2 linked regions of the Elephas maximus indicus genome follow. The protein of the gene in region 1 interacts with the protein of each later gene in a pairwise test. Links are inferred from orthologs where the notes say so. Each region holds a gene or a part of one and is shown in the gene's direction. Other genes may lie near its edges.

What was found. The genes of interacting proteins can lie anywhere in the genome.
Region 2: the proteins of GCC1 (region 1) and ZNF276 interact in binary tests that used the Homo sapiens proteins (3 or more experiments, as listed by UniProt). The two-hybrid records come from large-scale screens. The link is inferred for Elephas maximus indicus from reciprocal best matches to the Homo sapiens genes GCC1 and ZNF276.

Annotation. Positions count from the first base shown.
Region 1 is NC_064826.1:22,309,505-22,317,318, forward strand, and holds the start of GCC1 (GRIP and coiled-coil domain-containing protein 1), read left to right. Parts: upstream 1-4,812; 5' UTR 4,813-5,192; coding exon 5,193-6,224; intron 6,225-7,042; coding exon 7,043-7,814. UniProt on the Homo sapiens protein: Probably involved in maintaining Golgi structure.
Region 2 is NC_064839.1:54,863,791-54,871,364, forward strand, and holds the start of ZNF276 (zinc finger protein 276), read left to right. Parts: upstream 1-4,562; 5' UTR 4,563-4,776; coding exon 4,777-4,951; intron 4,952-5,554; coding exon of another isoform or gene 5,555-5,648; coding exon 5,649-5,952; intron 5,953-6,257; coding exon 6,258-6,304; intron 6,305-6,376; coding exon 6,377-6,823; intron 6,824-7,574. Other genes in the region: VPS9D1 (VPS9 domain-containing protein 1), read right to left, coding at 796-958, 1,062-1,154, 2,010-2,085, 3,500-3,598. UniProt on the Homo sapiens protein: May be involved in transcriptional regulation.

The DNA of each region.
Region 1 (7,814 bases):
GAGAGAAAGCGAGAGAGATGTAACACCAAAGACGAAGAGAAGCTGTGGCAGAGAAATGGTGGCAGCAGAGGCAGGAGACCAGCAGGAGATGGTGTGGTAGGCCTTCTGGCCCATGAAGTGAGAAAGCTGAGCACCTTCGGGCAGGAGGCTTGCTGGTGGTGTAGGGTGCCTCTGGGCACTTGGTGGAGCTAAGTTTCCTGACCCACAAAGGTAGAACTGAGCATCTTTGGGCTGAGGCTTGCTGATGGAGGAGGGTGCCTCCAGACACTTACTGGCAGAGCTAAAAGAGCTTTGTAACACTTGCCTGAGCAGGGTAGAGGCCAGGCCGAGGGGCTGAGGGCCAAAGAGAGGCCTCCCTGCAAGCAAGGCTGAGAAGAGGCTGTCCTGGTTGAAGAACTGTATCCTGAGCTTTCCTGAACCTGAATTGAAACCTGTTACTTCCCTAATAAACCCCATAACTCAAGTATGGTCTATGAGTTCTGTGTAGCCACTGCAACAAGTTGAACCCAGCAGAGAAGGAGAGAGTGCCGTGGGAGGGATGGATAGTGTTGGAACTGGTAAAGATGGTGGAAAGAGGAGGTACGTCTGACCTCTATCTCACAGCAATCAGCCTTGGGCTTTGTCGATCTTGATTCTCCTTCCCCCTTGTAAAGTTGCATGAGGAGGTCAGATGCTGCCCCCACATCATCATTTTTACAGGGTTCAACCTCCAACCACGACATTAATATCTGCCTTACCTATCTCAAGGGGCTATAGATTAAAGTGATGAGATAATGTATCTGAATGTTTTGTGTTATGCAGCTGGATGTTATCTGGGCCACTAACAAACTGGGTCTGAACAGACATCTAGGGCATGGGCATGCCCCATCTTGACCTACAAAGTCTGGAATGAGGACAGACTTTGGGAACCAGGTGTGAGTGAGTGCATGGCATTCTTTTGCTCTTCAGTCATAGGCTTCCATTCCCAAGAAGGATCCAAAGGTCAAAAAGTACATTTAGAAGAGTCCCAATATAATAACACAACTAGTGGTAATGGAGTATCTTAGTCTTCTAGTGCTGCTATAACAAATACCACAAGTAGAGGCTTCAACAAAGAGAAATTTATTCTCTCACAGTCTAGTAGGCCACAAGTCATCTCCAGGGGAAGGCTTACTCTCTCAGTTCTGGAGGAAGGTCCTTGTCGTCACTCTTCCCCTGGACTAAGAGCATCTCTGTGCAGGAACTCCAGGTCCAAAGGACGTACTCTGATCCTGGCACTGCTTTCTTGGTGGTATGAGATCCCCCACTCTCTGCTGGCTTCTCTCTTTTATATCTCAAAAGAGATTGACTTAGGACATTATCTAATCTTGTAGATCTCATCAATGTAACTGCTGCTAATCCATCTCATTAACATCATAGTGATAGGATTCACAACACATAGGGAAATCACATCAGATGACAAAACAGTAAACAATCATACAATACTGGGAATCATGACCTAGCCAAGCTGATAGATATTTTGGGGGGACACAATTCAATCCATGACACCAAGTCAGGTCAATTCTACATCTTTAGCTCTTTTATCAGCTTCTTTCTCTTCATGTTGCCACTGCCTGGTTTCACTATGATCTCTTTCCCATAACTGAAAAAGCCTCCTTACAGATCTTCTATGCCTTACTATTTCCACCCTGTTATGCAAGTCTTCATGATGTTACTCTTGAGATTAAAACCCTCTAGTGTCTTCCCTACTACCCAAGGTAAAATATAAATGCCTTAATTTGGGTACCCACCTGTTATGCCAAGGAGCCCTGGTGGCACAACAGTTAAGCACTTGACTGCTAACTGAAAGGTTGGTGGTTTGAACCCACCCAGCTGCTTCAAGGGAGAAAGACCTGGTGATCTGCTTACGTAAACATTAGAAGGTGCCTTGATGGCATAGTGGTTAAACCCTTTCAAAATTTTTTTCTTTAGAAAATTTTTTTCCTTAAAAAATTTTTTTGATACTATGTGCTTTCAATAATAGAAGGCATGCTGAATTAAGGAGTCGTTCAAAAAAAATTTTTTTTTCTGAATTTTTGTTATGAAATTTTGAGATTTATCATTTGGAGAAATATCATATGGGAATGCATTTTCCCACAAAATGCTGGCGATAGTCTGGTGCCTGTTTACTGAGCTCTGTCTGTCCCAAGGATCTCTGGAGGCAGGATTTTGGGTGATGCCTTCCGTTTGGCTACATTGGGCATCTCTGGTTTTCCAAAAATGACCAAAAAAAGAAAAGCCAACCCACCAGGGTTCCGACACAGGAAACCATAAATATACTTACAAGGCTTACTTAGCTGTACAAAAGCCAGAAGAGACATAAGTTTGATCCAATCGCACTTCCTGGAAGCACTGCCTCATACATAAGCCTCTTTACCTTAGTGAATTTTTCCCAAAGAACATTTTTTCATGTTTCACCATTACACAAGCCCCCCACTGGAGGGCAGCAAATACTTTTAGTGGGAAAAGTAGTCTCCCAAGAAACCTGAGAGCCCAAAAATGTTAGCGGACAGCTTCTGTGCCAAGATTCAAATGAAGGGTTAAAGCACTCAGCTGCTAACCCAAAGGTTGGTGGTTTGAACCCACCAACTACTCCATGGGAGAAAGATGTGGCAGTCTGCTTCTGTAAAGATTTATAGCCTTGGAAATCCTATGGGGCAGTTCCACTCTGCCCTATAGGATCCCACCGCATCCCCATTCAGCTTACCTATTTGGCCTGTGCAAAAAACAGGTGGATCTTGGAGAATGACAGTGGATTATCATAAACTTAACCAGGTGGTGACTCCAACTGCAGCTGCTGTTCCAGATGTGGTTTCATTGCTTGGGCACATTAATACATCTCCTGGTACCTGGTTTGCAGCTACTGATCTGGCCTATGCCTTTTCCCTTGGAAACTGTATGGGGCAGTTCTACTCTGTCCTATAGGGTCACTACGAGTTGGAATCAACTTGACGGCACTGGGTCTGGGGTATGCCTTTTTCTTGATTCTGGTTTTGAAGGAAGGCCAGAAGCAGTTTGCCTTCAGGTGGCAAGGCCAGCAATACACCTTCACTGTCTACTTCAGAGGTATATCAACTCTCCAGCCCTATGTCATAATTTAGTCCACAGGGACTTTGATCACCTTTTCCTTCCACAAGATACCACATTGGTCCATTACATCAGTGACATTATGCTGATTGGACCTAGTAAGGAAGCTGGTTAGTTGGTCCTACTTTCGCTAGACAAAGTGGTGTCTGTTATGCCTTCTTTCCCTCCGATTCTCCCATTTGTAATGGAAATATCTAGCTTGGGCCTGTTCTACCATTGTACTTTGGAAGCAGATAACCTGTTTTCTAGATTTCACAGATGAAGAGGAATTCTTTGGATTTTGGACTTGGAATTGATTTAAGGCTTTTGCTGATATGATGGGGTGAATACGTTTTACACATGGCAAGGACATGAATTTTGGGGGGCCAAAGGGTGGAACGTCATGGATTGAATTGTGTCCCCCAAAAATATGTGTACCAACTTGGCTAGGCCATGAGTCTCAGTATTGTGTGATTGTTCACCATTTTGTCATCTGTTATGATTTTCCTATGCATTGTAAACCTATCTCTATGATATTAATGAGATGGGATTAGTGGCAGTTACGTTACTGAGGCAGGACTCAATCTGCAAGACTAGATTCTGTCTTAAGCCAACCTCTTTTGGGATACAAAAGAGAGAAGCAAGCAGAGAGACATAGGGACCTCATACCACCAAGAAAGCAGCACTGGGAGCACAGCATGTCCTTTGGAAATGGGGCTCATGGGCTGAGAAAATCCTAGACCAGGGAAGATTGATGACAGTGACCTTCCTCCAGAGCAGACAGAGAGCTAAAGCCTTCCCCTGGAGCTTACACCCCGAATTTGGACTACTAGACTGTGAAAAAATAAACCTCTGTTTGTTAAAGCCATCTACTTGTGGTATTTCTGTTATTGCAGCCATGGATAACTAATACAGGCGCGTTACTTAACCTCTCTGTGCTCCGTGCTCCCATTATCTGTAAAATAATGCTAATAATACCCCCTAAGCTGAATTACTGTACAGACTAAATAACAAAACTTTTGTGAGGCTCCTGGTGTATAGCTGGCACTCAGGATAGAAATCATGGCTATAGAGTGCCCTCTATAAGCATAGTTGAATTAACTCAAAACTTATGAAAAGTGCTAGCAATTATTACGCTATATGTAGTGGTTAAGTGCTACCGCTGGTAACCAAAAGGTCAGCAGTTCGAATCCACCAGACGCTCCTTGAAAACTCTATGGGGCAGTCTTACTCTGTTCTATAGGGTCGCTATGAGTTGGAATTGACTCCACTGCAATGGGTTTGTTTTTTTGGTTTTCTTATGCCTACTAGGTGCCAAGCACTGTGTTAGACAGGGTTGCAGTTATCATGGTCTAAAAGGGAGTCTAACGGTTGCATTTTAGAGACATAGGTGCTGGTCCCCCAAAGAGTGGGGGTGTCGCCCATCTTTGTGCTTCGTAAGAACGCTGCGCAATGCTGCCCCCAGTCGCTTGCTGATCGAAGCCCAAGGACAAACTCAAGCACCCCGACCTCACCAAACAAATCAACATCACGCCTGAGTCCTCTTCTCTGCTTCCTCCATTCTTCCCAAGCCATGTCCTCAGGTCATACAGCCCCTAGGTTTTCCACAGGCGGCTCCCACCCACCGCCTGGAGTGGCCACGCCCACCTCGCACATGCTGGGGGCGGAGCCTGCGGCGGGGTGCTGTCGTCACTTCCTGAGGACCCGGCAGTGACGTTTGGGCCGGCCGCGGTAGTTAGGAAGTCCTGATGGAGCCGCGTTTGGTGTAAACCTTGGCCGACCGGGACCGCGGGGGCTGGCCGGGGCTGCAGGGATCCGGGCGAGCGGGGCGCGCGGCGCGGCTTTGTGGGCCTGGGCGGGCGAGCCCCGGCGGTGCGCTCCTCTCGTGCCGGCGTCGCTCCGCCTCCGGGACAGGACCCGGCCCGCCCTCTGGGCCCGGGACCAGGCGGGACCTCCTGCCAGGGTGTCCCGCCGCGCCTCATCCGGTCCGGGACTGCCGGGAGCAGCAGGTGTGCGGCCCGACAACTCTCTCCCCGACGCTTGCAGTCCGTGCCACGTCTTCGCGGGCTGCCGGAACGCTGACGTGGAGCTGCCAGTCCCGCACCCCTATGGAGAAGTTTGGGATGAATTTCGGGGGCGGCCCGAGCAAGAAGGACCTGCTGGAGACCATAGACACACAGAAGAAGCAGCTCCTGCAGTACCAGGCACGGCTCAAGGATGTGGTCCGCGCCTATAAAAGCCTACTGAAGGAGAAAGAGGCGCTGGAGGCCAGCATCAAGGTACTGTCGGTGTCCCACGAGGCGGATGTGGGCCTCGCAGGTGTCCAGCCCTCAGGTCTCACTTTTCCTGACTCCATTGATGACCGGTGCTCCACTCACAGCGGGGATAGCACGGGGACCGCCACCAGCTTGGATACTGCAGCCAGTCTCACCAGCACCAAGGGTGAGTTTGGGGTAGAAGATGAGAGACCGGCCCGTGGCCCACTACCTCTGAAGTCCGAAGAAGCCAGCGGTTCGGAGAGTGGCATTAGCAGCAGTAGTGGGGACGGTCCGTCGGGGGGCGTGGAGGCAGACAAACGACTGCACCAAATGAAGACTCAGTTGGCCACTTTGACCAGCTCTTTGGCTACAGTCACCCAGGAGAAGTCCCGTATGGAGGCTTCTTACCTGGCTGACAAGAAGAAGATGAAACAGGACTTAGAGGATGCCAGTAAGAAGGCAGAGGAGGAGAGGGGCCGTCTGGAGGGGGAATTGAAGGGGCTGCAGGAGCAAATAGCGGAAACCAAAGCTCGACTTATCACGCAGCAGCACGATCGGGCCCAAGAGCAGAGTGACCATGCCTTGATGCTGCGTGAGCTCCAGAAGCTGCTGCAGGAGGAGAGGACCCAGCGCCAGGACCTGGAGCTCCGTCTGGAGGAGACCCGAGAAGCCCTGGCAGGGCGGGCATATGCCATTGGTCAGATGGAAGGGTTTGAACTGCAGACCAAGCAGCTAACCAGGGAGGTAGAGGAGCTGAAGGGTGAGCTGCAGGCTCTTCGAAATGAGAAGAATCGGCCTGACCCCCGGCTGCAGGACCTTCAGGAAGAGGCCGCTGGCCTCAAGAGTCATTTCCAGGCTCAGTTGCAACAGGAAATAAGGAAGGTAATTATTCTCATTTCCTTCAAGCATTAGTCCTTTAATCTGAAGTGGGAAACATGAAGGCTTTTCCTCCTTTGGGAGTTAGCACTAAGTGGTCGCACTGGCATTTCTGATGCTACTGGAAAAGTCCCACTAGTGAGTCCTGGGAATTCCTGCTCTACACGGTGTTGACAGTCTCCACAGAGTGTGTGCCCAACAGGAAGTGGAGTTTCTGCGTGTAGGCTGGGTAGGAGCCAGACAGCTCCGAGTTCTGGGCATTGACATCTTCCCAGCCGGGCTCTACGAAGCGGTGTAGTCCCAGCTGCACAAGGAAGGGTGATGTGTGGGGCTGTGTTTGTAGGGAGATGAAGGGGGCGATGGGGATTTTCTCAGAAGAAACAATCTCTTGTAGTTGCTTTCAGTCAGAATTTGTATCCTTTCAGTGTGGAGAGAAATCTAACTCCGTTTTGAATTTCGAGGAATATCAGAAGAAAAAAAAAAACCGTATGATTTCTTAATAGGATTTGGGGAGGCATGTAATAAACAAGAGTAAAGCTTTATATGTGAGCTAGGTGTATGGTATGAGAAAGCAGAAGCACTAAAGCAGAACAGTAAGAAAATACACTAAGGTCTGGTGTAATATGTTTCTGGGAGCAGAACCCAAGCAGGTTACAGGAACTGTTGTTAGCACCTAAATCCACACAAAAACCCCCAGTTCCCATTCTTCCCAGGCCATCCTAGTCATGTGACACTTTTGCTCACCCTCTCGCTTTCTCAAAATTTGCCCTAGGGCATTGTGTGGCTTTCCTGGCTGCATTTCTGTCTGTTGCCTTGTTTTCCAGACAGCCCTTGCTGAGGAACAACTCCGACAGCAATCTCAGGTGGAAGAGCAGAGGGTGGCAGCCCTAGAGAACCAGATATCCGAGGTGTCTGAACTGCTGGGCATCTACGAGAAGGCCAAGCAGAAGGACCAGCTGGCTATCCAGAAGCTGAAGGAGCGTATTCTGCAGCTGGACCTGGAGAATAAGACACTGGCTCTCGCAGCCTCCAGCCGGTCCCCTCTGGACAGCCATGGTGAGGAGTCCAGTCTGGATGTTAATGTCCTGAAGGACAAGATGGAGAAGCTGAAGAGACTGTTGCAGGTTGCAGCCAGAAAAAGCCAGGTGGCCCTGGATGTGGAGAAGCTCTGCGACCCAGAGATAATGCCCACCTCGGAGGCTACTGATGGGGAGAAAGCCACTGCGCTGTACTACCAACAGGAGCTGAAACAGCTGAAGGAGGAGTTTGAGAGGTACAAGATGAGGGCCCAGGTTGTCCTCAAGAGCAAGAGCACCAAAGACAGCAATGTGTCAAAGGAGCTGGAGGAAGCCCAGGAGCAGCTGGCAGAGCTGAAGGAGAAGTACATCTCCCTGCGGCTGTCCTGCGAGGAGCTCGAGCGCCAGCACCAGCAGGAGGCTGAGGACTGGAAGCAGGAGCTGACCCGGCTGCAGCAGCTGCACCGGCAGGAGCTGGAGCGCAGTCAGCTGGACTTCAGGGACCGCACGCTGAAGCTGGAGGAGGAGCTGCACAAGCAGCGTGACCGGGCCCTGGCCGTGCTGGCTGAGAAAGACCTGG
Region 2 (7,574 bases), on another chromosome or scaffold:
CCAAGAGGAGCAGGTCCTCCTTGTTTGTCCTACTTGGGATTCACTGGGCTTCTTGCATCTGTGTCTTGATGTCTTTCATCAATTCTAGAAAATTGTCCACCATTGTCTTCAACATAATGACCCTCTGCCATTTTCTTTCTCTCCACCTTCTAGAATGTCAGTAAACTTATGTTAGACCTTCCATCGCTCTTTTATTTTTTTTTTATGAAGCATTCTGGGTGTCTTTGACTTTTCTTCCAATCCACTAATTCTCTCTTCAGCTATGTCTACTCTCCTGTTATAAACTTGTCCACTCCATTTTTTGTTTTTTTGGCTTATTTCTACTAGAAAACATATATATATATATATATATTAGTTAGTTTTAAATAGTAACTTCAGTTGCATTTTTCATTTCTAGAAGTCCTACTTAATTCTTTATTTCCTCAGTCAGATTTTATGTTTTCTTGCTCAAGATTTTATAATTTCTTGGTTTCTCTAGATATAAAGAACATAACTGTTTTATAATCTGTGTCTGATGACGCCAATATTTGGAGACTTTGCAGGTCTGTTTCTGCTGTCATTCCCTAATAGTTTCTTGTTTCCTCATGTGTTTGGTTATTTTTGACAGTGTGTTATTCAACTTTATGAAAAAGCAAAATGCTTTCCTCCAAGTAGGTTTTGCCTTTGCTTCTCTCAGGTACAAGGGAATTCCCATTCTGGGACCTATTTTGACTAAATTTCCGTGGCCAACTCATATTGCCCAGCCTCTAATCCCAATCCCCAGGCTCAACTCACACCCCATTTTGCCCATCTTACTTTTTAGAGTTTTGTGACTCCACCATCTGAAGCTTCTGGAAGATTTCAGGAGGTAGAAAAGGAGAGAGCTTGCCCCCTTCATCTGAGTACACCCGGCGGTGTCGACTGGTTGGTGAGGGTACTGCAGCAGTCATAGGCTTGGCTGGCTTCAGGCATGGTTTCCCTGTAAGCCATACATGGCCACGGGTCAGTAGGATGGCCCCACATTCCATAAAAAGACACAGACTTGGGTGTACTCAGGAAACCTCCCTCTGTTGGAGACCCACCCAGCTTGGCAGCAGTTGATTGGGCCCTCTCCAAACACTGTTCAGCCAACTTCAGCATCTTCGAGGTGTCTAGGGGCACTGTTTCCCCGGCTTCTGGGGGAACAGGAGAAAAAAAGGCCAGTTACCTTCAGCTGGACTGCTAATCAGATTCTTGCTGAAGTGAAAACAAGGTATGGGAAAGCTGGGTTTACCTCTTGATTTTGAGGCAGATTCCAGGCTTGGCCAGCCCAGCATCTGATTAACTTTCTTTCCCTCACTGGAAAGGGGACCTTTGGAGTTCTCTACCTAAACAAGGCCTTTCTTTATTCCTCACTGAGGGCTTTTCCTGTACTCTACCCCTCTGTGTGAGATAGGCCATGCAGCTGCTATGTCATTTCACAAATAAGGACGTGCTGAGAGAAAAACCTCATTTCTCGGCACCCTATCACTCGCCTGTGTTTGTACACAGATCTGGCTTCCTGCCTGCTGCTCAAAGTGTTTCATGGTCTTTTCCTCACATCAGAATGACTCCAATGCCAACCCAAGGTACCCAGAGCTCTGCACAACCTGCCCAACCCTAACTTCACCTTCTCCCTCTCCACTGGCCTTCCACAAACACACCACCCACTCCTACCTCAGGGTCTTTGCACATCCCTCTGCTGGGAATGCCTTCTCCAGACCCTGGCATGGGTCACTCCATCCATCAGTGGGTTCAATGTCATCTCCTCAGGAGTGCTTCTGTGGCCTTTCCCATCACACCCCACCCCAGCTCTCCATCCTCTTGCCTGCAGCACCTGTCCGTTCTGGCCCCTGCATCATGCTATTGCAGCTGGTGCTTGCTGAGTGCTATTGGTCCACTTTCTGCTAATGATCATGCTGGCAGGAGATGTCCAGGCCTGAGACTCTCTGAGGGCTATGTTCCCATGATTAGCCCAGCATGGGGAGGACCTGCGACGTTCAGAGCCATACCTTTGGTCATTTCTGCTTCTTCCAACAGAACCTGGGAGATGTAGTGAATGCTCCTCAGATATTCTGTATATGCCTCCTGTGCCCAGGGAAAAGAAATGGCAGGGATCAGGGCTACGGAGGTGAATGAGTCCATCGCACTTGCCTGGTGCCCCTCCAGGAAAATGCAGTGCCTGGACCCACAGAAACAGCAGTGCCTGCTTATCATGAGATACACCAGAGACATCTAGTCTGCTGTAGTTGGCTGGTAATTGTGCAGTAGTCTAATGATAGTATCCTGGCTCTCTAAGACTTGAAGGAAAAGATGTCAGCACCTGCAAACAACGCCAAAGCACATCTTCCTACAAGATCTGCAGTAGGCACTGGGTGCCGAGACCAGCTGGACACCAGTCCTCCTTTCACTGCGCTTCTTTCTGGCAGAGTAGGGCTGGGAGCAGCCTCAGCAGTTGCTCTCACTTTTTACGCTCTATAATTTTTCTTCCTGTGTCATGACTCAGGAGCCATTCATTCAGTGGCTTTAAATAAGTATTTCCTGTGATGTTAAAGAGGTATGATATTGCAAATCTTAGAATTACTTCCTGCCTTAGGTTTTGGAAAATCCCTCTCCTGATCCTCAGGGTGAGTACCCCTCAGCACACAGCAGTCAGAGGACTAGTGCTGAACACTCTCTGCTGCTCAGGACATTAAGAACCATGGCATGATGGTTTTTTGTCCTTTTTTTGGCATCCCAGTTATCAAGCCACCCGTCTTAAGTCTACTCAGAGGTAAGACCAGGGCAGATTGTGGACAGGGTTTTTGACTTGTGGGGGCACCTGGTGTCCCAGAAAAAATGTGGGAGAAGCAGCAGATTCAGAAACTAGGATGTTTTTCTTAGGCACGCACAGCCTCTTCCCTACCCTGGGCAGTCTGGTGTGGCCCAGGCGGTTTTTCTACCTGGTCCCCACCTTGAGAGTCAGCTCCCAATCTCAGGAACAAGCCACCCTTTCCACCCCCTGCATTTCCTTCCAGACAGGCCCTGAACAGCCAAAGCAGCACTATTGGGCTGACAGTTAATATTTTCTGGATTCGGTCCCCTTTGGGAATCTGATTAAATCTACAAAAAAGGAAGAAAGGATGCACACACAAAAAACTCTGGGGGTTAGTTCACAGACATTTCTGAATCCCCTCTACAATATCATCTCAGCTCTGATTCCCCGACTCATTGAACAGGCGAGAACACTGAGGCCCGGAGAGGGCAGTGAGCTGTCCAAGGTCGCAGAGCAGGGCAAGACCTCAGCACCGCCGGGTCCAGCCTTCTTACCCCAAGGTGGGCGTGGGCGCCCCCAAGTGCCGAAGCTCGGGCAGGGCCGAGAGCAACCTCGCCGCCTGGCCGGCTCTGCCCTCGCCCACCCGGCTTGCAGCAGGTTGGGGTCCCTCCCGGCCGTCGCCGCGACCGCCTCCCGCCCCCGCCCGGGGGGCTAACCTCCGCCGGACCCCGCCTCCCCTTGTCTCACCCGGGGTCGGTTGCCAGTGTCCAGCTCGATGGCCCCGTTAGCCAGCTTCATAGCGCTCTGCAGCGGCTTCACCGCGCCATCCCCGGCCGCAGCGGCCATGGTGCGGGGCGGGGGAGGCAGTGGTGGCGGTCAAGGGGCGGGGCGGGCGGTCGGGAGCCCGGAACTCTGCCTGCGCGGGCAGTGGAACGCCGGAGCGACGGACCGCCGGACGGGGCGGTCCCTGCTGGAAGCACTTCCGTCGTCCTGCTCCGCCGCAGGAGCAAGACTCCCGCGGCAGAATGAGCCAAGGCGAGAGTGGCGGAACCATGGCCTGGTAATCCGAGGCCAGGCCCTGCTAGGGTCCAGGAGCGGACTCTGGACCACGGGCCTCGGCTTGCAGGCCGGGTCTCCCCATCTGGGAAAGCGGATTAGCGATGACAACGTCTTCACGTAGCTGCCCTGAGCGCCGAGCCCTCGCTCCACGTCCAGGACCCCTCTAACTCCGAACAGTCCCGCTAGTTGCGCTTTATGATTTTGGTACTTTTCTGTATGTGTATGTACTTAAATAAAAAATTGCAAAAAAGAAGAAAAAATCAAAGGAAACTTCAAGCAACATGGCTAAGTATTCTGAAAAGCCCTCCAATGCCGAAAGGCACCGTGCTGGCGGACCGAGCAGGGCCTACCACCTCCGTGCGTAACTCTTGGGGCCCAGCGTCTGCCCGTCAGCGCCTCGTTTCCCTTCCACAAAGAGGTATAGCGGGTCTGCTGTCCCTCACGGGCCTGCCACGAGGTTTAAATGAGTCGCCGTACGTCAAGGGCTCAGCCCACTGCCTAGCCCGAGGCCGGCGCTCTCTAGGCGTCAGCGCTGGGCACTATTCCTCTCGCGGATGGAGCGGGAAGCGAGCCTGTGGACGTCACCGGGACGCTTTCAGGGCGGTACAGCCTCAGAGATTTGGACCGCGGCCCGCACGGGCCCCGCCCCCGCCGCCCCCTGCCCCCTGCCTTTAGCCCTGCCCCCGCCACGCCCCGCCCTCCATCCCGCCCCACCACGTCCCCGCCCCCTGCCATCAAGCCGAGTGAGGCCGAGCTGGGCCGAGTGGAGCCAAGCTGAGCCGAACTTAGCCGAGTGGGGCCGAGCAGAGCCGAGCGGGCTCGAGCGGAGGCGAGTCTGACTGTGCTGGCGGGCCGAGCGGGGCCGAGCGGAGCCGAGGGGTACTGAGCGAGCGGGCCGAGGCGAGGCCGCGCGCCGTGCGCGGTGCGCGCAGCGGGCCGGGCCGGGTCTAGGTGGGGTCGCCGCCATGAAGCGGGACCGGCTCGGTCGCTTCCTGTCGTCCGGGGCGGCCCGACAGCGCGGGGGCCCGGGCGGTGGCGCCTGTGGAGGCGGCCGGGCTCGGGGCCGCCCCGCCCGCAGCTGTGGGCTGAGCCCGGATGGGACGGCGGCGGCGGCGCCGGAGGACGGCGCTGAGGAGGCAGGTATGTGGGCCTGACTTGGGCCGGGGGCCGGGGGCGCGGGCCGGGTCTCTCCTGGAGGAGGGGCGAAGAGGCGGCCGAGCGGTCCGGGATGGGGGGGCGGCCCGGCACGTCAGGACCAGCGCTCGGGGCGGGGTGGACTGGCCGGGGGACGCCGGGCTCGCCGCGCTGTGACCTTGAGGTGGCCACTCACCCTCTCTGAGCCTCAGCCCTTCTCCTCAAGCCGACCGAGGGGTCGCGAGGACCAGGGAGTTACTGCTCGGTGGGCCGGGTGGGCTCTGCGTCACCCTTCTGGGCGGAAGGGGAGCCCAGGTGCCAGCACTATCACTTCGAGTTCCCCGGGCGGGGGAAGTGGGCCAGGGTGAGGGGGCATGGTGTGCGAGGCGACGGGGTGAAGGTCGACGGGGCTGGGGGGCCGGGTTGAGGGGCGCTTGTGTGAGGGGGGCCTAGGCGAGACGGGCCGTAGTCGGAGCTGTGGAGATATTTAGGATATTTTGAAAGTTTTTTTTTGGACTGGAAGTTCCTCTAAAAAGCTTTGTCTCGGCCTAAATGTTGAGCTGGGAGCCCAGCACTTTCCTCCGCTTAGGTTAGTGGTCTTTGGCTTAGGGCGCTTTTTCCCAGATGCCCAAGCTGAGCAGAGCAGCTGAGTTCAGGAGCTGGCCTCCCGCTGACCATTCATGTCCCCCGCTGCTTTGCCCAGGACCAGGCCGGGCGCTCGCCATGGGGCACTGCCGCCTTTGCCACGGGAAGTTCTCCTCAAGGAGTCTCCGCAGCATCTCCAGCAGGGGGTCTGGGGAAAGTGTGGGGAGAACGCCCCCTGGGGAGCGCATTTTCATCAGGGATTTCCAGCGCCTTCTGGGGGTGCCCGTTCTCCAGGATCCAGCCCTGTCATCCTTCGTCTGCAAGAACTGCCATGCCCAGTTCTACCAGTGCCACAGCCTCCTCGGTTCCTTCCTGCAGAGGGTCAACGTCTCCCCAACTGGCCGCCGGAAGCCTTGTCCAAAGTAGGCACTCACTGGCCAGGCAGTGTCCTCCAGGCACCTCAGGTGCTGTTCTGGGGGCAGGTGTGGGAGCAGGCCTGGCTGGGAACCTCTGCGGAGGGCATATGGTGTGAGCACCACTATACAAGCGTGGGGAGTGAGGTTCAAGCAGGGCTATGAGACGGGGAGGGCAGGGTGGTTCAGGGAGAGTGGATAGTATCTGAAGGACAGCAGGACATTCAAGACCTTGGGGACAGCCATGAAAGTAGGACAGAGCTTTGAGCTGCTAGGTGTGCTCCTCCTGCTCATGGCCACACAATCCTTTGCAGGGCCGGGACTCAGTCCCAGACTGCTGCAGAGGAGGGCACGTGTCCGGGTGAGTGTCCGGGTACACGGGCAGCCGGGGTGGCAGGTGCTGGCCAGGGCTGACTCTGTCGACTCTCTTCAGCGGACCTGGTCACATGGAGCCCCCGGTGCCTGCAGGCCCTGGTTGGGTGGGTGCACGGGCACGCAGCTGGCTGCGGGGCCCTGCCCAGCCTGCAAAGGATGCTTTCTTCTGAGTACTGCGGCGTCATCCAAGCTGTGTGGGGCTGCGGCCAGGGCCACGACTACGTCATGGACACAGACTCCGGCTGTGGGGCCCTTGTGCTGGACAGCACGCTGGCGGTCAAGTGGGAGTGGGACAAGGAGACAGCCCCGCACCTCACCCCCAGTCAGGGGCCCAACCCTGCTGGGGCTGGCCCCCAGCACTCCCAGGGCAGAGGGACCATAACTGAGGCCGAGACAGAGGCACTGCCCAGCATGGATGCGGCTCAGCCTCCCTTGGATGGCAGTCCTGTGGGGTCTGGGCAGAGCCCCCCGCCCCAGCCAAGTTCACCCCCCAGTGGGGTTCCAGGTAAGAGCCTGTGCTAGATCCAGGTTCCCTCGTCCTTAGCGGGGGGGGGTTCTGGGTCGCTGCAGAGGAGATAAGCGGAGATGGTGGGGGAGTTGGCTCAGCCCCTTGGAGGAGCTTTCAGCTGCATACTAGACTGAGGAAGTCAGGGCTGCCAGCTGGTTAGGGCTGTGGGCCCTTCATGGGAAGCCTGTCTGAGCAGTTTCTGTAAAGACACGTGTCTCAGATCTCCAGTCTTTCTCTAGCCTCACACCCTGGGCAGAGGGTACTGGCTGTTCCCGTGGGCTGAGAGGCCTGAGGGAAGAGAATAATGGAGCCCTTGTCCATGGGGTTCGGGGGAAGGGTGGGCTGCTGCTGCTGAGGCTGATGTTTTGGGCCAGCTGCAGGTCACTCCCTGGACCTCAGCCAGCCGTTCTGAGGACACTCCAGTGGGACCAGTGTGGACAAGGGAGAACACAGGCCCCTTATTTGGGGCCCAGATCCCATGATGGCTGCCTGGGGACACTGGTGTTAGGAGGCTAGGGGTCAGTCTTCGAGCCTGCTGCTCTCGATCCTCATAGGTGGCACTTTAAAAAAGTGCAGCTTGGCATGGGTCGAAGGGCCTTGGGACAGGGTTGGCCAGGGGGTCACTGTTGCTTCATGAGCATCTTAGTACCACTTGAATTTTTAAACTATGTGCACGTAATACTTTGATAAAAATGGTTCTTTAACTACTTGAGAACACCCACAGCATATAGCTAACTCCCCACCCCGG